4 linked regions of the Schizosaccharomyces pombe genome follow. The protein of the gene in region 2 purifies or fractionates together with the protein of the main gene of each other region. This does not show direct contact. Each region holds a gene or a part of one and is shown on either strand. Other genes may lie near its edges. The genes, in order: nog1, cid14, nog2 and dbp2.

Region 1 (5,696 bases), on a different chromosome or scaffold from region 2:
TAAATTTAAATTTAAATGTATCTTCCCATCTTATTATTTGCTAATATACATAATTTTTCTGATGGTCAATCTAAAATATTAAATATACTAATGTGCTTTTTGAAATGCCATGGGAATGTTAAATCTACAATTCGACGTCAATTCCTGCGTTTGAAAAGTTGTATTTCGCCTTTTCAATCCATTTAGTTCGCTCAGATTCTGAAGCTTCCTCCTTGGCAAGTTCAAAACACAACATTCCGGAATACTCATGCAATGCAGGATTCTGATTGTAGGGTGGTAACAGCAAATACTCATCAAGCAACTTCATAGCTTTATTGTATTCTTGGCGCTGAATAAGTAGCATGATATATGCTGGAAAAAAATGTTCTGCCTGTAAATGTTAGTATAGAATTGCGACATATGATTGATTTCAAATAAGAAGGGACAAAAAATTCAATACACGAAAAGATGAAAGTATAGACGTTTTGTACCAGTATACACTTACATTACGATTCGGATAAGAGTTGTTAATGGATGGACGCGCAGGATATCGAGCTATTAGTCGCTCCATATACTCTGATGAAGCTTCTGGATTAACTTTGTTCAAAATTTCAAGTCCAATGTTCCATAATTTGGAAATGTCAACACTCTTAGATCTCAACAGTAATGAAAAAGCCCTAGATGCCCTTGGGTAATCTTTGCGCAATAAGCAAAGGTGCATCAACGAACAAAGTGCATCAATATGTCTTGTTTTATACCTTCTTGATGGTAAAGGAATTGGAGGTATAACAGAAGATTCCGGGTTGGGAGCGACACTTCGCAAAGTTGAACGTTTTTCTTTAACGGTACAAGGAGAGAACATGATTATAACAGAATCAAGCTATAAGTATTACTTATTTAAACAAAGCATAGTTGATCTAACTATAACCTTTTAATCTAGCATTATTTTGCTAATTGCAAGGGTATGGTTTTTGGCATCTTAAAGCAGTTAGCACTTGAGCACGACAGTTGCCTCTCTGTTCAACAACGATCAACCTTAGCTATTGATTAACTTTAGATTTTAATTACTCATTCTTTTTACTTTCATCTATTTACTCAGCATAAAATTTACAGCCAAAAACTACAGGTGTTGTTATGCACGGCTACATAATTAACTGCTTCAATTGTCAACTGAAAGTACATTAAGCAAAAGCTTTGAAATATATTAAATTTCTTTCCTAATGGACAACATCCTCCAACAAAAGTAATTTATGTGAAGAAACAAAAAGGGATGTAGGTAGAAAGTCTTGCAAGTCCACCCATATTATCCAAACCCAAATAACCAACCAAATATTAAAGTTTTATATAAAAAAAGAACCCCAAGTCCAAAACCATTATTCTACCTTCTTTGAGTTTTACCGTTACCACGTTTACCGCTAAGCAAATGTTTAGGCTTGGCAGCAATAACATGTCGATCACTTTCAGAAGCCCTGGCCATGCGGTTACGGTGTATCTGTTTGACACGAGCCAGGCGATCAGCGTAAGATCTGGCACCTTCTGCGTGAACACCAGATTCGCGACGGTTGCTTTGTGAACGTGGGGCAATAGATTTAGAGCGAATTTCTTCACCTTCATTCATTAACAAGTCAACACCTGAACCATCAGCCATTTCGTTTGCTGCTGCAGTACGTGCACGGGAGCGTGCCCGCTCTTCAATAGAATCTGAGGGAAGCCCAGCAGATTGTAAGGAAGATTGTAGTTCGTCTAAAGTACGAATGCCAGCGGTACGGGGAAGTACAGGACGATTTTTAATTTTCTTCTGGCGAGCAGCCAACATAGTCAGCTTGTTTTTCTCACGAATTCTACTTGCTTTTTCAAGAACCTCTTCCTCATCGGCATCCTCAATTTCTTGGTCAGAATCATAATATCCTTCACGCTCAAGACGTTCTTCTTCTTCGTCCAAGGCTAATAACTTCGCTTCAATTTCAGGATCAACGAAATCAGCCACATTCTTACCGTCCAATAATTCAGGCATACGGTCATATTTCCAGCTAGGGTCTTGAAGAATATACTTGTCACGCAATTCAACATTATAGACACCAGCACCTCCGTTTGCAGCTTCAATATCACGAGCAAGTATACGGCGATTTGGATCATTTGCATCATATGCACGGCGAGTTTTAACAGAATCAGGAATGCAAGCTGGTCGTGCAACCTCATCACGAGCAGCAGGCTCAGCAAGATGAATGCGATTAAGAACATTGTTAACCCTTGAGCCCTTAAGTTTTTGTTCGACACGAGCAGCCAAAAGGGCTTCACAAGCGGTAGTACGTACATCCATAACACCGATATCTTGAACACAGCTAGTTTGAACCACCTTAACATTACCGTCGTCAATGATGGTTTGAAGAAGCTCTTGATTTTTTTGATCCAAATCCTCAGGCCTCATGGCGTCAATCTTGTTGAGAACCAAAATAGTAACCTTGTTGGCAAAAAGGGGTTTAATGCTATGATATAATTTAACCTGTGCAGCAACACTGTAACCGCACATTTCCGAGAGATCCATGAAATATAAAACCGCAGATCGAAGATGAGCCATTGCAGTAATAGATTGCATTTCAATGGTGTTCATTTGCTCTAAAGGGTGGTCCAGAATACCAGGAGTATCAATCACTTGCCATCTCAAATATTTATAATCAAAATGACCGACAAATAGAGATTTAGTGGTAAAAGCATAAGGCTGAACATCAACTTGAGCACGAGTAACCTTGTTCATGAATGAGGATTTACCAACGTTGGGATAGCCGCAAACCAATAAGGTTCGTGTATTTGGATCAATTGCTGGCAAACGAGACAAGTGCTGTCTGACTTGCTCAAGAAATTCGAGGGATGACTTTTGCCTTTTAATGATCGTTGCCATGCGTCCCAAAGCGGCACGCTTGAGCTGTTTGCAGCGGTATAAGCTATCACCATACTTGAGCAAACGGATATAATCACGAGCGACATTTTCTACTAAATGTTTGGCTGTCGAGAGCTGTGAAAGAGCGATTTTAAGGTGATCGCGATCGTAAAGAATGTTCAAAAGGTCAGCATGAAAAGGATGAATATCGTTAAGTCTAAGAAATTGTTAGTGAACCATAGATAGTGATATGGAAATAAGGAAAGATTCACGATGCTGCTGAGAATTCCAACACAATTAAACACTTAAAAAATCAATAGGAGTAACACAGTGTTAAGAATACTGTGCACATAAGAATTCACACCAAACACGTTAAAGCATCATTTCTCATTCTTTAACAGTGACTGCAGGCATCCATTTCTTTGGCAAATACTTACTTAGGGAATTCCTGTAAAATCGAATCCAGCTTTTCAGTAATTGTATCTTGAGTAAATTTTACTTTTCGTCCATAAAAACCTCTAATACGAGAGATCTAATATTTTCGTTAGTAGATGATTCGCAAATCTAGAATTCCAATGCAACCACTCTAATACGATAATTGAACTGAAAATGTTTACATACCTTAAACCCTGATCGAATAACGGTAGGTGTTTTTCTTTGAGTCCGAGAAAGGACCACGTCCAAGAACGTGTTCACATCCGGAATTGGAGTAATATTCTGCATCAATGTTAATAAGAATGATACAAACTTTCAATTTTAGAAATTAAAATACCTTGAACACTGCCGTTGCCATGGAGTAGAAAAGTTTGGTAGATGGCAAATGTCAAAGACAATTTTTCACCGTTCACGCAGTAGTTATCCAGCTAGCATTGATAATGGACGAAGGTTCGAATCGTATAGGTAGAACAGTCACCTTCTGTTAACGAATTTTTGTTTGACATTGATAAATCGTATAACGCAAAGAAACGCAATAGAAGGTAAACAAAGCAAGTTTATAGGCAGGCATTATGAATCGAATATCTACGGTTTGTGACAAATTTTATTCAATGTTTTAATCTACATTTCATACTTCAAAAATCCCGTTATTATAATCTTAATTTTCTTTTCAAGAATATTGGGTAGTTTGATCTGGTGTCCGAATGGATGAAAAGTGATAGCAAAATTTCATAAAACAAAATCCAAGAAATCAGTATTTATTAGAATGCTACTTAAACTTTTTTCACTTTCTTAAAATCATGTTGTGAACAAAACGATTTACATTCCTACACTGCAAATACGAAGAATAAAATGCATAGATTGATTTGAACAACAGAATGTTGACTGAAGTAGATGTATGTAGATTAGCAGAACTTATGTTATAGCACTTTCATTTTCTTGATTCTATTAGCTTTAAAGGAAATTTCGAAGATACCCTACTTGTTGATAGGCTCCATGTATTTAATAATTTTGTTCGCATTTTATTTGAAAAAGTTAGCATCTATTTTCTTTGGTTCTAGTATTTAGTTAATGACTTAAAGAATCTTTCTTAGGAGAGCGAAATAGTTCAATTGAACATACTGTATGCCCATCCTTCATATTGATGCCTAAATCAACATATCGTATAGTTACATAAAGCATAATTTATCATTTTTTTAAATTTCCTTTAGACATTACTTTTCACAAATTTGCGACTTTCGCTCTATTTAACAAAAATCCTATCATTTTGACAGTATAATACATCTTGTATTGCAATGCCAGCTTTACTCAACGACAAACTAAACCTTGTAAACGCAGGGTCCCATTCATCCATTTTTGTACCATCATGACATTGGCAGCAGTAGCTCAGCTTAACTCAAGTGGTTCTATTCTAAAAAACTTAGCCATATGTAAAGAATTGATAAGTCAAGCAGCCGCCAAAGGTGCGAAATGCATATTCTTCCCTGAGGCTTCTGACTTTATAGCTCATAATGTACGACACTTTTGCATACTTTACCAACTTTACTAATATCTCTGACATACAGAGTGATGAGGCTATTGAACTTACAAATCATCCTGACTGTAGCAAGTTTATTCGGGACGTTCGAGAGTCAGCTACCAAACATTCAATCTTCGTAAACGTACGTACTAATGTTTAACTACTTTGATAGTAACAAACTTGTCTTTATAGATATGCGTGCACGAACCATCTAAGGTTAAAAACAAGCTACTAAACAGTAGCCTGTTTATCGAGCCTCTTCATGGTGAAATCATTAGCCGTTACAGCAAAGCTCATCTTTTTGATGTTGAAATTAAAAATGGACCAACTTTAAAAGAGTCGAATACTACACTTCGTGGTGAAGCTATTCTCCCACCTTGTAAAACCCCTCTAGGCAAAGTTGGTTCTGCAATTTGTTTTGACATCCGCTTCCCAGAACAAGCTATAAAGCTTAGAAACATGGGTGCTCACATTATCACATACCCTAGTGCTTTTACTGAAAAGACCGGAGCTGCTCATTGGGAAGTGCTGTTGAGAGCTCGCGCTTTGGACTCTCAGTGTTATGTTATAGCTCCTGCGCAAGGTGGAAAGCATAACGAGAAGCGTGCTAGTTATGGTCATTCCATGGTATGTCGTCTTCAAGTTTCACCTGTCTGTTTAAGAATTCTTGCTAATTAAAATTTTTAGATTGTTGACCCTTGGGGTATGTCATTTTGACAATTTTATTAGGTAAAATAACTTGAAATTCTAATGCATCTAGGTACTGTTATTGCTCAATACAGTGATATCTCTTCTCCGAATGGCCTCATTTTTGCTGACCTTGATTTGAATCTTGTTGACCATGTACGAACTTATATTCCACTATTACGTAGAAACGATTTATAC
Region 2 (5,791 bases):
TTCAAATGAATAAAACGAGCACATGTAGGTTGGATACTGCCATTAAAGTACGACTACAAATAAAATATTAAGCAATTTGAGAAACCTTATGTGGAACGTTAATCAAATGTTAAATAAGCAAAATTCATCTAAAAACAACAAATGGATATTATTTAGACATTAGTTTCATTTAATGTTATTACATTGTATAAATTAAACGTACTATTCTTTAACTGTCTAATCAAGCATGGATAGATGATCAAAGATATCATTACTGTATGTTTACTATGAACACTTGATCTAGGTGGATTAATTTATTTGGCGTGCCTAATTTGGAACGAAATTAATATCATCTTCAACATCCCACCGATTTACTTATACTAAATAAAAGAAGTCTTTGAACTAAATTAATAAAATTTTTTTCAATGTATTTTACAAGCACAATCGTTCCAAATATCATGTCAAAAGATACGATTGCGTATCCATACCTTTGGCCAAAGTCATACTAGCTCATTTTCCCAGCACGTAAAACGCGCCAAATATCTATATATTAGAATACCATACGAAAAACGGTAAAGTTTATACTACATTAGAAGGAACTTTAAGTTGGTTTTATTTAAATTAAAGATTGATTTTATTGCTGCTAAATAAGGAATTTCACATCTTTGGGGAATTGGTTAATTCATCATGGAAAGAGCTGAAAATGCTAGAATTATTCAAAAGCCTATGACTCGTAGGACTGTGGACTATGGATCAGGGCTATCAAAGTATATTGTCAATCGACATTTGCGTAGCAATCGCTATCACATACATGTACCGAGACCAAATCCGAATCAAATAATTAACTTGTATCCCCCTTATGAATACAAGTATAATAACACATCTTCCTTGTGCACCAAATATATTCATACGTCTGCAAATAAAGCTAGACATGTTATTAACGTTGTGCGCTGGACTCCAGATGGTCGAAGACTGTTGACAGGTTCTTCAACTGGTGAATTTACTCTGTGGAATGGTCTCACATTTAATTTTGAGTTAATTAATCAGAGTCATGATTATGCCGTTCGTTGTGCTGAATGGAGTACAGATGGGCGCTGGCTTATTTCCGGCGATGGAGGAGGCATGGTAAAGTATTTTGAACCGAATTTAAACAATGTCAAAATTGTTCAAGCTCATGAAATGGAAGTTAGAGATGTTGCCTTTTCACCCAATGATAGCAAATTTGTCACAGCGAGTGATGATGGTTCATTAAAAGTATGGAATTTCCATATGAGTACTGAAGAGCTGAAACTAACTGGTCATGGATGGGATGTAAAAACCGTCGATTGGCATCCTTCAAAAGGTCTCTTGGCTTCTGGTTCTAAAGACAATTTAGTGAAATTTTGGGATCCAAGAACCGGTACATGTATTGCGACTTTGCATGGTCATAAAAACACAATAATGCAAGCATCTTTTCAGAAAAATTTTGGATCAAATTATTTGGCTACAGTCTCTAGGGATAGCACTTGTCGAGTATTTGACTTACGTGCCATGAAGGACGTTCGAGTTTTACGTGGTCATGAAAAGGACGTAAACTGCGTAACATGGCATCCTCTTTATCCTAATTTGCTTACTACTGGTGGCTCCGATGGAAGTGTCAATCATTATTCACTTGATGAACCTCCATTACTTTCTCAGCAAAAGTATCATGAAAAGCATCCAAATGTTACTCTTTCCGCGTCTTCTTATTTACTATACCCTACTGCTGAAATTCCATTTGCTCATGATTTGGGTATTTGGAGTATGCAATATCATCCTCTTGGACATCTTTTATGTACAGGTTCAAATGATAAAACTACACGTTTTTGGTCAAGATCTCGCCCAGATGACAAGGAATCCACCATGGATCGCCATCATTTAGGTGAAGAACAGTCTGAGGCCATGCTAAGTCAGAGAAAAGCAGCGATCGAAGAAGACGATAATTATGAACCTGACGAAAACCCTCTCACCGAAACATTAGCAAATGCCCATAATCCCCAATTTTCTGGAGTACTTAATCTTCCGGGTTTAGGGACTATGCCCTCCTTTCCATCGCCTTATCAACATGGACAACCTCAAATTCCCGGTATGCTTCATGCATCTTTGAGCAATTCATACGCTGAGCCGTCAACTCAAAACTCTTTTATCCCAGGTCTCACCTCAAAGTCACAAGATGGGTATCCTCAAAACTATCGATAATACATTTCTTTGTTATTTGAAAAACATATTTACTTGGCATTAATTAGATTTAAAAAAAAAAAAATTCACACCGCAGCTCACTGGATTCATACTAAAAATTGGGTTTGGCAAAGCAAAACCTACACTAATTTTTTTTTTAATGATAACTAAGCAACAATTTACATTATACCATTCATACTCGACAAGCACTTCTATATCTCGCTCTCCATACAAGATGTTCCCCAAATTGAATTACCGAGTGTCAACGATTTTCGTAAATAAATCGTTAATAGTTAGGTATGCTACATTTAGTAAGTTGTTCACCACCAAATTTTCAAAGATCTTATGTGATTAATAATTGTGGTTCAATTAGTCATATATTGATTTTTATAAGAATTCTACAAGATAGGTATAGAAAACCATTCTATCCATGTCTTAGAGATGGGTAAAAAAAGCGTGTCATTTAACCGCAATAATTATAAAAAGCGTAAAAATGAGAGAACTGAACCACTTCCAAGGAGGATTTTTAAAAACGATAAACCGAGTAAATTTAAATCTAAAAGAAAGGAAAAGGATAAAAATTCAGACGCTTATGACGAAATGCTTCTGAATAACAATTTTACGCTTCTGGATCAAGAAGAACCCATGGTTGAAATTGGAAGTAAAAAATCACGTAATGATAATGATTCAGAAGGAATACGTGATAAAGGTGGAGTAGAAATTTCAAACAAAAACGATCCATATATTCAATTTGGAAAAGCCGATCCATTAGAGCCGCTGGAAAAACCTGATTTACCAGAGGAAGCAATAAAACGTGGTGAACCTACCATTCTTTTAGGTATACCAAAAAGAGAAGGTAGAAAAACTAACCCTGTACACGACAAGGCTGTCGAAAATAATTCTGATTTTATCAAGTTCGATTGGAACAGCGATGAAGACGAGGATAGTGTTAGTAATGATAAAAGCAAGAATAATGAGTCCTTAAAAAAGTCTTCTAAAAATGAGATCCCTGGCTTTATGCGTCAACGAGGCCGATTTTTTCATGAAGCAAATGAAAAATCGGATTCTAACCGTAAACGAAAACGCCAAGCGTATGAGCTTGATTCTCAATCATGCCCTTGGCACCGTCAGTATAAGGTAGAGCGAGAAGTCTCTAGAATTTTTCACCAAGACATTCTTCACTTTATTGACTATATTACTCCGACTCCTGAAGAGCATGCGGTTCGGAAGACGCTTGTTTCTCGTATAAATCAAGCTGTCTTGCAAAAATGGCCAGATGTATCACTTTATGTTTTTGGAAGTTTTGAAACCAAATTATATTTACCTACTTCAGACCTTGATCTTGTAATAATATCACCTGAGCATCATTATCGGGGTACAAAAAAAGATATGTTTGTTCTTGCTCATCATCTAAAGAAGCTAAAACTTGCTTCTGAAGTCCAGGTCATTACTACTGCTAACGTTCCAATCATCAAGTTCGTTGATCCGTTAACCAAAGTTCATGTTGACATATCTTTTAATCAACCTGGAGGTTTGAAGACATGTCTGGTAGTGAACGGTTTCATGAAAAAATACCCTGCTCTTAGGCCGTTAGTAATAATTATTAAACATTTTTTGAACATGCGAGCGCTAAACGAAGTCTTCTTGGGCGGATTAAGTAGCTATGCGATTGTTTGTTTGGTTGTTTCTTTTCTTCAATTACACCCTAGACTTAGTACAGGTTCTATGCGTGAAGAAGACAATTTTGGTGTTTTGCTGCTAGAGTTTTTGGAGTTGTACGGAAAACAATTTTATTATGATGCTGTCGGTATCGCTGTTCACAATGGTGGTTTTTATTTTTCAAAAAAGAAGATGGGTTGGCTGAAGCCAAACCAGCCTTATTTGCTTTCAATCCAAGATCCGGTAGATTTCCAAAATGATGTTTCTAAATCTAGTCGTGGATTATTACGCGTAAAGGCTACATTTGCAAATGGCTTTGATTTGCTAACTAGTAAATTATACGCACTCGCATCTCGTATAGAAAGAGAGGGTGTCAATCGAGTCAAAGATTTCCCTAGTATCCTAAGTACCATATTATCAGTTGATGAAGGGGTTCGTCAACATCGTGAGCATATGTTAAAATGTTATAAGAATAATCCAGTTCCTTTAGAACCTTTAGTGGAAGTGGATGCTTTAGCAAGTATTGATGTCGACAAGCTTCCATTGCAAGACGTTGGTTTGCAATATGTTGAGGATGAATCCGATTCAGACGAAACAGATGCTGCAAAGGATGATTTGTTTAAAGTAAATGAATCAATTGAAACCAACGGCCATGAAAATTTTCAGAAGCAAGCTTTGACATCTACGGGAGAGCAGTCCTCCTCTAATTCTCGAGCTAATCCCAGTAAATTATTTAACATAAGCAGTGACGATTCGGAAGACGAAGTACCTATTATTGAGGACACCACTGCTTCAGATGAAGAATCTCGAGCGAAAAAAATACGCAAACGTTTTTAGTTAATTTACATGTAAAATACCAGGTTATATAGAGGGATAAAAGGTTTTATTATCAATTATGATTATAGTTTGATAATTGTATTAATAAATTATCTTTATAGATTATACTTACGATTTAGCCAGTAAACTCGAATACCAGTAATAAATTAATCAACACCTTAAACTCACTATGGATCTGTAGTAATTTTGCATAAACGATGAAACTAGTTAAGAAATTACGATTCGGCGAGAGGAAATTTGATGATAGAATGGTAAGTAAATATGCCATAAATAAGAAGCACGAATCCCAAGAATTGAAGTAAATGGAATGACTCCATCCCCATTGCCATAGCAATAATCCAAATTCCGAATGTTCGAGCAATATCTAAAAGAGATCGGGTAGTAGCTGAGTGAAGTTTTGTAATGGCTAAGCCGGAAACGTTGAAAAAACTAAGGTTGGAACGTTAGTAAATACGAATGGTCAATTTTTTAACATGAACTTACGCAATAGATACCAAAATAACTCCAGAAATAACATAGAGTGCAGGGACTTCATTAAATCGAGATATAACGTGTGAATAGTCAAACCACCCGTGGTATCCAGCAGTAGTAGAACCGATAAAATAGTAAGAAATAATCATTCCTAAAAGGACAAAAAATACGCCATAAGTACCTTCATAAGCAACTAATTCTGAAGGGTCGACTTGAATAAACGAGAGTATGTATTCTTCAATTGTGAATTGTGTTGCTAAAAAAAACTGGCCGATTAAAACTGCAGTAATTCCTAAAATGGGATTTGAACCAATAGAAGAAGAGGATCCAGAATAACCAACAATTGCAACTCCTAAAACTACGAAACTCAGTGAGAGCCATTGCAATTGACCGATTGTTCTTTTTAGTAAAGTCGTAGCGAACAAGGCAACGAAAATAATAAGCGAACCCCTAGTCATTTGATAAATGCTGGCACTAGTATAAAGAAGGCCAACATTCATCAATGTTGAACCACATATATCCATGATTGCTGGAAGAGCCATGAAAACTTTGTGCTTTAAAGGTAGGTGGTCAAGAGATTCGTAGCCAGGACCTTGTGAGTGGCGTTTATACAACACATAAAACCATAAACATGCTTCCCCAAGAAAAA
Region 3 (5,294 bases), 2.4 Mb from region 2:
AAAGCCCACAAAGGTAAGAGAGCTTGGCCAGCATTCAGTACACATAGGAGCAGGAATTGAAAGATAGGGTAATATGATATACTCAAGATGCTTGAGATGCTGAATACCCCCAAATAGATATTGTAAATCAATTTTTTCAGAAAGGATAGACAGGTCTATCTTTTTTAATTTTTGGCATTGAGAGAATGCTCTTAAGGCCGTAAAACCAAGTCCTGACTGCGGACCTGAAAATGTTTCTAAATTCGTAGCGCACCTTCTCAATAGACGGGATGTTATAGAAGCTTTTGATGCATATGAAACATTGTTTAAACTAATGTGATGCACTAATTTTCTTGTAGGTTTACGGCTAATCGTGTCAACAAACTTATGATAATTACGGGGATTAAGCTTTGGAAAATAATAAATAGCATGTAGGCCTCCAACATATGATGAACGACAAATCCTTAGCAAGCCCCCAAAATTTTTTGCTTCAAACTTGTCAAAACTTATTAAATGATCGAATATGTGATGCCATATTTCAGGAGGAAACGACTGCATCTTTCGGTAAGGCCAAACTAGATATCATTACTCCCAAAAGTTAATTTAAGTGTATAAGCTTTCGATTAAAATTTTGGCAATAACCTTGTCCTAATGTACTGACAATGGTGTTAGGCAGTAGCAAAACCTCAGTCTTCGACGCCAAATAATTGAGTGATAACTTGGTATCTTCAAACAATTTTTTTTTTTTTAAATATCTAAACTTACAAATAATTTAAACGGTAACTGCCAAATAACCTTATATGACTAGTAATTTGCATTGCTCGATACATAAAATGGTGGTAAATGGTAACACTTCATGTGAGAAGAACAAGCAGAATCAGTACCACGCTTAAATTAAAAAAAAAGATTTGACGCAAGATATTGATGAACAATTTGCAAAAGTATTGTATCTAACAAACCGTTTACAATACATCAGGTAGAATTCTATAGAACAATAGCAACTCTTATACATATCACATTATATTTAGTAAACCAATATTATTATTAATATACAAAGACCAACCATAAAAATGATAAATTAAACCAAACCCCCCAATTAACTCCTATTCTTATTATCATCAACAGCACTTTCATCTGTAGACTCAGAAGCACTTCCCTCGGCTACTGGTTTAGTACTTTCAGACTCATCAGCTTTACCATCATCAGAAATTCCATGCCATTCTTCTTCTGCTTCTTCTCCATCCTGATCAGAACCTTCAGTTTGCTGAGTAGCGACTTTTTGCGAAGAATTGATTTCATCGTTTGATGAGGAAAGGCCTTTAGGTCCAATAAACCAAGGGATTTTACCGCGCATAAAATCATTCAATACCATTTTAGCAACCGAAGCTTCATCAGGTTCACCTCCTTTGAGCAAACGGCCTCCCTTCTTCGCAAGTTTAGCAAGAAATTCAGTCGAATCATTCCAACCAGATATTTCATATGTTCTCTCAAGATGCTTCACTTTACAACGACTGAGTACAGTAGGAATATATGCTTCTGGATTACTCACGTTTTCAACTCGGACTACACCTTTCAATAAAAGCTCTGCATCAGAGTCGTTGGAACTGGGTGGGACTATACCAGGACAGTCGATTAAAAAAATTCGTTTCATGAGTGCAACATATTGCCAAACTTTCGTTTCTCCAGGAATGGGAGCAACATTACAAACTTTTTTCTTCCTTAAAGTATTGATGATGCTTGATTTTCCGGCATTCGGAAAACCAATTAACCCAACAGAAATTTGTTTTTTGTCAGAATGTAAAGACGCAAATTGACGAAGAATCTGAATAAGGGACCCTTTACCAAAGGAATTATTTATAGATGCATGGAAAGCAATGGTTGGGTACTCTTTAGCCAATATTTTAACCCAGGCGGCCTAAAAAAGTTAGAAAAAAGAACATTGGTTAATAAAGATATATCTGGTTGTTCGTTGATACATGAAAACAATGTAAGTCTTTACATTTGTAAGTGTGACAACTATATGCAGCGATATACTGCTTGAAACACCGAAATTAAAGCAAAGACAATACAACTATCTCTGATATAGCCAGAACGGCTATATAATTTAGAGACAGTTTGTATACTCTCCCAGAGTTGTAACAGACTTCAATTGACGGGAAATATGCTGAAAAGCATACAAAAGAGTCTTGACTTAACAATGGGCATACTGAATACTATTCCAGCAATTAAATAGAACTAATGCATAACAGATGCATATAGCTTGATCTTTCCATGTATCAAAAACAATGCAAATAGATTTTAAAAACAAAAATGACTTACAGCAACAGAGGTAGGAACAAGATCAACTTTGTTCAAAACCAAAATCATATGCTTATGAGAAGCTTCGTTCCTTAAATAGCGCTCTACGGTTCCACAACGAGTACCTACAGGATCACGCGCATCAAGCACTTGGATTAAAACATCGCTAGAATCAATAACTTTGTAAAGCTCATTCCAAATACGTTTAGATTGTCCTTTGCTAAAAATCGCATCACGAGCAGCAAGCATAACATCATCAGACTCATCGGGATTAGCCAATATACGCTCTTCAATTTTCTCTTCGTAAGCGTTCTGTTTTTCGTCAGACTCTTTAGCCAATTCAGCCACAGAATCGAATGAGATCTTGGGGCGTTTTCTTTGAGATTTAGGGCCAAAAGTGTTTTCAAAAGGCTCTGACTCTAAAACACGAACTTTTGGAATTTCAGTGTTCTCTTGTAGGAGAGACATAGGAAGTTTGTTCCTTCGTAATAAAACTTGATAAGGATCGTTTAACTTTTGACCCATAGCCTCTCGAAATTGGGTGAGAGTTGGTTGAGCAATAACTCTGGTATTGTTGAACCATCGTCGATCAGGCTGAATTCGAGCTTTAGGAACCTCGCTAGACTGAAATTCAGCAGCACGGACTAATTCACCAGCAGCGTTATATTTCGCCTTGCCTCCTCGATACATGTTAACTCGAGCAACATCCTTGGCATTTCGGTAAAAATTTTCACCTTTGACACGAAGGTTGCCAGGCTTCTTCTCATTAGCACCTTCACGTCCGATTCTGCTTTTCTCTTTCTTATAGGTGCCCATTTTTTTTGATTACTCCAAAAAAGAAAAAGAACAAAAACAAGGCCCTAACAACCACGCCAAATTGATGCGGTTGGTGATAGGTAGAGTGTAAGTAAGAAAGCGAAATTTTCAAGTCATAAGCACAGGTAACATATGCTGGGTAACATTTGTTTACTATTCACATTTGTTAGTAAAATGTAGCTAAATTCCTAAGTTAATAAAGGAAAACTTTGGATATTGTTTCTTTAATCTCAAAGAAAAATCCTATATGGTTTTTCACTTGGAATGGAAAATGTACTATAACTTTAGTCTAAAAACGCCAAAACAAATGTCTTACAGATGGTGAAATGTATGTATTATTGACATTTTGATCAATAAAACTTAAAGAAAGCAATGAAAAAAGTATGTTCTCAAATAACCAAAATTAAAAACTTTTAAGTCACAGAATTCATTGAATATACCATACTTCTAAATTAAGAGGATTTGAACACAATATGATAAGCATCAAGATATCAGTGAAATTTTATGAAAAGGATAAAATGATTTAATAATTCTTAAAAAATAAAATCTTTAAACGTAGACCTGGTCGCTTGGCAGCGACTTCTTGTCCAGCTCATCGGAAGTTTTCTCATTCATGTACGTATCAGTTGAAGGCATGACTCCATCGATGTATGATTTATCATCAGTGAAGTGTTCTTTCGTTGATAATCTATCGGTTTCCTTACCGAATATCGAAGTCATTATGAGTTGAGATGCACACATCACGAATAAAAAAATAAAATATATAATTCCTTGTCCAAGAAATGAGACTCCAGCTGCGTCTATACCAAAAGAAACACACATTCCGGCTGCTTGGGTTCCTTTGTACAGTCCAGCGTAACGTGCATACTTGTCGGGATCACTAGAGAGAAGTGAGATACACCACTGTACAGAGACAATGGAAGAACCATATTGAATACCCATTAGTAAATATAGAACCAGAGCACCTCCGTAACCTCGTTGAGTCCAGTCAAGATCAGGGGATGTATCGTGTAAATCAATGTGCTTAGAAACAATCCAACCCAATTCACCAGAAAGAGTAGCCATGATTACCACAGCTTGAATAGTTAATCCAATAATACCACGTGTCCTTCTTTTTAATGCTTTTGCATCTAAAATTAAAGTGAACAAGTAAGGGACGAAAAATTGAATCACCCAAAATAACACATTGTTTAGAGACCGAGTACGAAGGGAGAAATAGTAGGAGTTTAAGTGCGACTGCCATGCAATTGTACTTTGTGAAGCAAAGGATGCAGGAAGCAGACAAAGTAGTCTCCAATCCTTTGCTGCTTCAAACAATCCCCAAAGTTCTTGACCGAACGTCTTATTACTGGGAGAAAGTGCAGACGTCCCATCTGATTTTCGTACATCAGATGGGCTTTTTATAAAGAGAATGGCTAATAAAACGGCACAAGCCATAATGATTATGAAGATGATGTAGACTGCCATAGGTACGCCAGTGCTCGTTGAGTGATAATTAATACCAAAAGCTATAAACGAGCCCACTGTACTACCAAAAGCCAAGATCGTCCATTGAGTAGCAATGAATTGGGATTTTTGATTTGCACAAGAGTAAGATAAGCTAATGTATGCTGTTGATGCCCATAATAATCCAGCAGCAATGCCTTCATAGGCACCAGTAAAAATGGTGAATCCTTGCTTTCCAGTGTTATCAAAATACCATAGTCCGCCAATGTATATAGGATAACCTGTAGCGCCCAAGGCAAGTGCCCAGCGAGGACCCAGGTACTTAAGAATCGGTCCTCCCGCCCAACCGCAAACGGTAAACAAAGCATACAAGAGTGAGTTCGTAACATCAGCCATATGATATGCATCAGGATGGCCACCACCTGCACCTAACCCAGTTACTGCTAAATAGATACCAGGGCAGCAAAACAAGATGCAAGAAGCAATGAAATTTTGAAATTGGCCTGAAGAGACAAGCTTCCCTCCCACTGAAGGTATTGTAATTTTCCGCATATTATTGACTAGAGCAACCATTTTTTAGTAAAGCGAGGGACAAGCACACACGGTTAAAGCAACGTTGGACTAAAATCACGCTTTAACCCTGCAACTTCGCCGAGTTAAATAGCTAAAAAGTATCTCGTCTATCATATTTATTGCCAAGGAAATCGGCTATCTAATAACTCTTAGAAATGATGGTACCTTGAATTTGTTGACAA
Region 4 (5,934 bases), on a different chromosome or scaffold from region 2:
GGTGCCTTTTTCTGAAGCATTGGGACAGGTCGTTTGACAGAATCAGATCGAGCACCGGTTGTCTTAGGAGCGCCACTGACATAGCGAGCAGCAGTTCCTTTTCCGGATTTTTGTGCAGGTACTCGACGGACAATGACAGAAGTAGAACGAGGAATTATAAAAGTGTCATCATCATACTCTTCATTAGAATTAGCATTATAAAGCAACAAATCAAAATCTAATCCATTTCCTAGCTTTTTCTGCATAATGATTTCTCTTTTAACGTCAAAAACAGACATTCCAATGGTTCCATCGAAAGTAATCCTTGACGGATCCTTTTGAGACTTGAACTTGTAATAAATTACACCAGACATCGAAAAAATAGTAATTGACTATCAGAAATGACTTAATTTCACTTTTTAAGAAACACGAACAGGTTTTTTGAATAGAACGAACGTCTAAAGAGTCCAACAAAAAAAAAGAAATAAAAGAGTCGTTAGTTGTAAAACTATGAGATAAATGTTTTAAAAAAAAAAAAAAAAAACTAAAATTATTTGGTTAACAGAGGTTTCAAAAATTCAAAGGAAGCTATTCTTGCTTACTCGTCCAGATACTTACTTCAACGGAACGGCAAATAGGTAATTTTGAATGGATATTTATAATTAGAGGAGTGCTTTGTCGTCAACGTACTCAAAGAGAGGAATCGAAATCACCAAGGTGTTCTACTCGGGAACAAACTACAAAAGCCAACCACCTCTGCAAAGCTCGCGGATCTTTCGGTAATAAGGGAAAGACAGGGAATGCAATTAGCACTTGCAAATATAGAAAGGTTCCTACCCTGAAGTACGAACGTTGGCTGCTAAACTTTTTATTATAAAAATTGCTTATTAATTAGAACGAGAATATTCAACAAAAACCTTTCTAATCAAAAGCTGTTATTTAGTAGGGCTATTTTTTTCAGCTTATTCTTTTATTAGAGTTTTGAATTTAAACAACTCAATGTACAGGACTTTCAAGCCTCTTCGCTCTTAATTCTTATGATAATGAAAAAAAAAACTTTTTTATTTCTTTTAAGTCACCCAATATAAATAAATCTTGTATTAAAACTTAGTCGGAAAGACTGAATACTCAAATGCTTTAGCTATTTATGTCTTTGGTCAAACAAATCGATCAGTCGTTAGATCAAATTCCGATTAGATGGTTGGTAGAAGAAGAGAATTTGCTCACACATCAAACATATATGTCATGCTAATGCACTTCAACATAATGCAATATGCTTCTTTAAAATGCGTTATCCAAAGTTGTCAAGCGCCACACAATTAATAAAGCCATCGTAAATGTCAGCTTAGCCAATATACACACTCAAAACACCTGTTTAATTTTCAGTACTTTTTTAATATAATTGATTGCTACCGTTATAACTACGTTAGATTTCACAAATCTACGAAAGCGGTTACTGAACAGAAAAAACTACTTCAAAATTTAACTAAGCCGGTAAATTAAATAAAATCATATTTTTATTAACCCTTGTAAACCTCAAAATTACCTTATATATCCAACCGATTAATCTAATTTTACTTATATTTCAAAATACGCGGATTGTTGATCACCAACGTGAACGCGCAAGGGGGGCAGAATTACTTCCGGTAAAACCCCTATTACGGTTTCCATAACCTCCTCCACGACGGAAACCACCACGACCATAGCCGCCACGGCGGTAGTTACCACCACGACCACCGCTTGAATAGCGGGCCATTTCCTCAAGCTTAGGATCAATGTCCTGCTTGGCTTCAGAGAGAATGGAAACAAGTTCACGAGCTTGCTTAGCATTATCCGAAGTGAAATAGGTATATGCGGTACCTTTAGCTCCAGCACGACCAGTACGTCCAATTCTATGAACGTAGTCTTCCGTATTTCCAGGGAAATCATAGTTAAAGACATGTGTAATACCCTTAACATCTATAAAAAGTTAGTAATGCCCAAGAGGGTTTTGACTTTAAGCTTCGAGATATATGTTTCATGGATTTATCCAATATATCAACAACTTTAAGCTTCTTTAAATTTGACAAGTTAGGTCAACAACACTGCATAAACATTTTAGCAATGGTACCGAACAGCAATAAGTTCACAATGAAAGAAAGACAAAAGACAAAAGAAAGTAAAGAAAAGGAGGAAACAGTACAGAAAAACTATGTTTTAAATCATTTAATGTGGTCTAAAAGTAAACAATGAGTCAAGTTGGTTTGAAGGCTGAATAGAATAAGCGTTTAAAAACCTTTTAAATTGACCGCAAATCAAATGGTTACATAGATCGCGGAAACGTTGACAACAAATTTAACAGGTAGCAGACCACACGTATCTCGACTACTATTGAAAAGGCCAAGATCATGAAATAGAAATCATCAGTTTCTCTTTGTAACACCATTCGTGCCTGTAAGAAACAGGCTAAACAATCATCCGAATTTTCTACTTTCCTTAAGACTGGGCGTAAACAAAAATATTCATCAAAGCAACACAAACTTGCAAAATTCAAGCTAAAATGGTGTTGATCGCCAGTCCATCTTTTATTATCAAAAGAGACATTGAGAACGCCGGTGAAAGTATAACGTCAAATAAAAAAGCCTGCGAAAAGGAAAAAACTGTTAAATAAAAACTTACCTATTCCTCTAGAAGCAACATCAGTAGCAACCATAATCGGAGACTTGCCAGTACGGAACTCATTGAGTACCCAGTCACGCTCGTCTTGAGCTTTATCACCATGAATGGCAAGGGCAGGCCAACCATCTTGCCTAAGGAAGCGAGTAATGTCATCAGCAACACGTTTTGTGCCTGTAAAAATAAGAACTTTGTTATCCCTATCCTTCAAAACCTCTTCGATATCCTTTCCAAGACGAGCTCTTTTATCAGCATTGTCAACAACTTCTACGATTTGCTTAATGTTATGAGAAGCTGCCAAATCCAAAGAGCCGACAGTTACTTGAATGTAGTCATTCAAATAGTCACGAGCAAGACGTTGAACTTCTTTTGGCCATGTTGCAGAAAACATGACAGTTTGACGGTCTGGTCGAATTTGATCAACAATCTTTCTAATTTGAGGTTCAAAACCCATATCAAGCATTCGGTCGGCTTCATCCAGCACTAAATAGGTCACACGACGTAAGTTGGTTTTGTTAGAGTCTAACATATCCAATAAACGACCAGGTGTTGCAATGCAAATTTCGACACCGCGAATTAGGTCACGAATTTGTGGACCACGAGGGACACCACCATACACACATGTGTTGCGAATTCGGGATGATTTGCCAAATTTAGTACATTCTTGCTGAATTTGGACAGCTAATTCACGCGTTGGAGCAAGAACGAGTACAATTGGACCATCGCCTGGAGAAAGTAGTGGTTGGGCATTAATATGTACGATAGCAGGAAGACAATAAGAAAGTGTCTTACCAGAACCCGTAGCTGAAATGCCTACCATATCTCTACCAGACATAGCCATCGGCCATGCTTGTTGTTGGATAGGAGTAGGAGCTTCGAACCCCAATTGTTTGACTTCCTTTAGTACATAGTTAGGAAAACCAGCCTCTTCAAATGTCGTAACAGGTTTAGGAACATTTAATCCATGCACGACAATTTCTTTTTCTTTACGGTATTCGGTGACTTCAGCGTCTGAACGATTGCGAACATTTTCATGTTCTTTATAAAAATCTTTTTGAAACGGAATCAAAGTTTCATTTTTCCAATCCTTCTTTACCAAATTAGCACCGGGACCATCTGACTCGTAAAAATTTCTTCCTTGTCCTCGTTGATCGTAGCCATAAGAAGCGCCATCATTGAAACCTCCACGACCGCCGCCACGACTATAGTTATTGCGGTATCCGCCACCATAACGACTGTAAAATGTTAATATTAATTATTTTAAAAAAAAAGGTAAATCAGTATCAATAATTTTGTACTGAACAGGGGCACGCCCAATTGTGAATTCTTACCCTCTGCTGTTATAGCCATCCTCTTTTCCATTGTAATTTCCACTATATTCGTTATCTCTGTAAGACATTATGATTTCTTTTTACTATAAAACTGAAGAGATGTGGTGGTTTATGGTAAACGGTTTGCTTAATTAACAGGCGGTAAGGCGCCTTATATAGTAGATTGCAAAATAAAAATTTTCAGTCAGATAATAGTAGCAATTAACTTCAAGAAAATATACTCCGAATAATTTAAAAAAATGTAAAATATTATTTTATGTTTTTGAAATGAGATTTTTGGATATTTTATAATATTACTATCTCAAGAGTAAGAAGTGCTGCCCGGCTAACTGTTAAGGTAATCCAACACTATTTTCATAAGCTTCAATAACAATCGTTGTTTGATAGTTGATACTGTCGCATTAAATAAAACAAATTTAAAAAAAAAAAAGGAAATAAATAAATGAAAATTAACACGAAGTTATTTATTTACTTATATAATCTATATACAAACATATATTACAAAGGCTAATAAAAATGTTCAAACTTTATTCTAAAGAGCTAAAAACAATCAATTCTATGGATAGAAAAAAAACCAAAAGTCCTAAATATTGATTTTCAATTATTTTTTTTTTGCAAGGTAGAACGGCGTCAATTAAAACACAGATGATTCGTTACTCGAAGATGTGTCCAAGACTAGCCGCTCAAAATCCAAACTTTTTTCCAAAATGCCAAGTAAATGCTGTACTTTGGAAAGAGATATAATTTGAGAATTAGTCTCTAAACTTTCCAAAAGAGTCTCAATATGAGAAGTAGCTGATTTGTCTTTGCAGTGTTCAACCCAAGCAACATAAGGATAACCATCTGAAGCGGAGATTTGAGAAACAACTTCTTGAATCATAAATACAAAAGGAAGCATAGCAATTTGGATTCCTCGCAGCCCATCCTGTTGAGCAGTATCGTGTATGAACAAAGAATGAGACTTAACAATTTCTGGTTTGCTCTTTGTTATTTGACTTGCAGATAAACCGTATTGCTCGCAAATTCTAAGATGAGTCACATTTTCTTCCTTAATAGCCTGAATAATTTTAGCACTGTGTTCGATAGCAGAAATACTAGATGACGAAAAAGCCATCATTCCTGCTGCTTGAGCATTATTAATTAACATATGATATTTTAGAACCAAATACTTTTGGAAAGGCAAACGAGAAAGTGTACCAGCTTTTAACTGCTCAACGAATGGATGGTTAACAATGCTTAGCCATTTAGGGGTTATAGAAGGATGATAGCGAACAAAGTTGATGAATTCTCCCTTTTCATAAGGAAGTCGCGTCAAGGCAGAAGCATAATCCAAGGAATTGGCACCACGACCCAGATGAAAGCTCATTTCTAATGCTCGCTGAGTGTAGGATACTGCGTTCTGTGTTGCAGTTACAAGGTCTAACCCAATTGCAAGATTGGAAGCTACTGCTGAAGATAATGCACAGCTGGTGCCACGAGCCGTTTTGGAGGCAAGCCATTTTTGAGGAAGCAACACTTCACCCTCACTAGTACAAAGGACATATAAATACCAAGTAGGAGGCATATTTGTTTCGCGTGAGCAAAAAAAATCAGATGCGAACGGTATATCGTCGCAACGTATAACCACATTTTTACAACCTGCCTTTATTAACTTTTTACCCACGGCTTTAACGTCCTCTAAATGATGAATTTCAACGAATTCGTTAGTCATATGCTTCAGTATTATTAAGGCTTCTGCTATGTTTGGAATAAGCACTTCTGCTCGCGGAATAAGCTCTTTAACAAATAGTTCTAAGTAGTCGGGCATGACTAGTAAAGCACCCTTCCGGGTCGCAATAAGGGGATCAACAACGACTTTTTTGATTTTAAACCTATCTATTGATTCAACAATAACTTTTAAAATTTGCTGATTGAACAGCATTCCAGTCTTCATGACTTCACAGTGAACATCTAACAGGCAAGCACTTAT

The links.
Region 1: the proteins of cid14 (region 2) and nog1 purify together in Schizosaccharomyces pombe (affinity purification with western blotting; 2 studies listed by BioGRID, with this or other methods). This does not show direct contact.
Region 3: the proteins of cid14 (region 2) and nog2 purify together in Schizosaccharomyces pombe (affinity purification with western blotting; 2 studies listed by BioGRID, with this or other methods). This does not show direct contact.
Region 4: the proteins of cid14 (region 2) and dbp2 purify together in Schizosaccharomyces pombe (affinity purification with western blotting; 2 studies listed by BioGRID, with this or other methods). This does not show direct contact.

The regions. Positions count from the first base shown.
Region 1 is NC_003423.3:1,235,527-1,241,222, forward strand, and holds nog1 (GTP-binding protein Nog1), read right to left. Parts: upstream 3,683-5,696; 5' UTR 3,651-3,682; coding exon 3,630-3,650; intron 3,575-3,629; coding exon 3,479-3,574; intron 3,390-3,478; coding exon 3,295-3,389; exon of another isoform or gene 3,075-3,294; coding exon 1,358-3,074; 3' UTR 1,145-1,357; downstream 1-1,144. Other genes in the region: RNA polymerase I transcription factor subunit Rrn11, read right to left, coding at 125-370, 485-841; nit1 (nitrilase superfamily protein), read left to right, coding at 4,659-4,805, 4,858-4,953, 5,004-5,438, 5,499-5,514, 5,572-5,696.
Region 2 is NC_003424.3:319,308-325,098, forward strand, and holds cid14 (TRAMP complex poly(A) polymerase subunit Cid14), read left to right. Parts: upstream 1-2,497; 5' UTR 2,498-2,616; coding exon 2,617-4,671; 3' UTR 4,672-4,822; downstream 4,823-5,791. Other genes in the region: mRNA cleavage and polyadenylation specificity factor complex, WD repeat protein Pfs2, read left to right, coding at 667-2,196; gms2 (NST UDP-galactose transporter), read right to left, coding at 4,887-5,100, 5,155-5,791. UniProt on the Schizosaccharomyces pombe protein: Required for 3' polyadenylation of the 5.8S and 25S rRNAs as a prelude to their degradation in the exosome. Involved in the nucleolar organization to ensure faithful chromosome segregation during mitosis.
Region 3 is NC_003424.3:2,733,034-2,738,327, forward strand, and holds nog2 (ribosome export GTPase), read right to left. Parts: upstream 3,176-5,294; 5' UTR 3,094-3,175; coding exon 2,299-3,093; exon of another isoform or gene 1,895-2,298; coding exon 1,076-1,894; 3' UTR 998-1,075; downstream 1-997. Other genes in the region: F-box protein Pof5, read right to left, coding at 1-537; SPOM_SPAC6F6.04C (transporter), read right to left, coding at 3,643-5,112. UniProt on the Schizosaccharomyces pombe protein: GTPase that associates with pre-60S ribosomal subunits in the nucleolus and is required for their nuclear export and maturation.
Region 4 is NC_003423.3:3,661,269-3,667,202, forward strand, and holds dbp2 (ATP-dependent RNA helicase Dbp2), read right to left. Parts: upstream 4,091-5,934; 5' UTR 4,034-4,090; coding exon 3,966-4,033; exon of another isoform or gene 3,870-3,965; coding exon 2,638-3,869; exon of another isoform or gene 1,939-2,637; coding exon 1,586-1,938; 3' UTR 1,467-1,585; downstream 1-1,466. Other genes in the region: mpe1 (RBBP6 family ubiquitin-protein ligase E3), read right to left, coding at 1-353; phosphomethylpyrimidine kinase Thi20, read right to left, coding at 4,600-5,934. UniProt on the Schizosaccharomyces pombe protein: ATP-dependent RNA helicase involved nonsense-mediated mRNA decay and ribosome biogenesis through rRNA processing.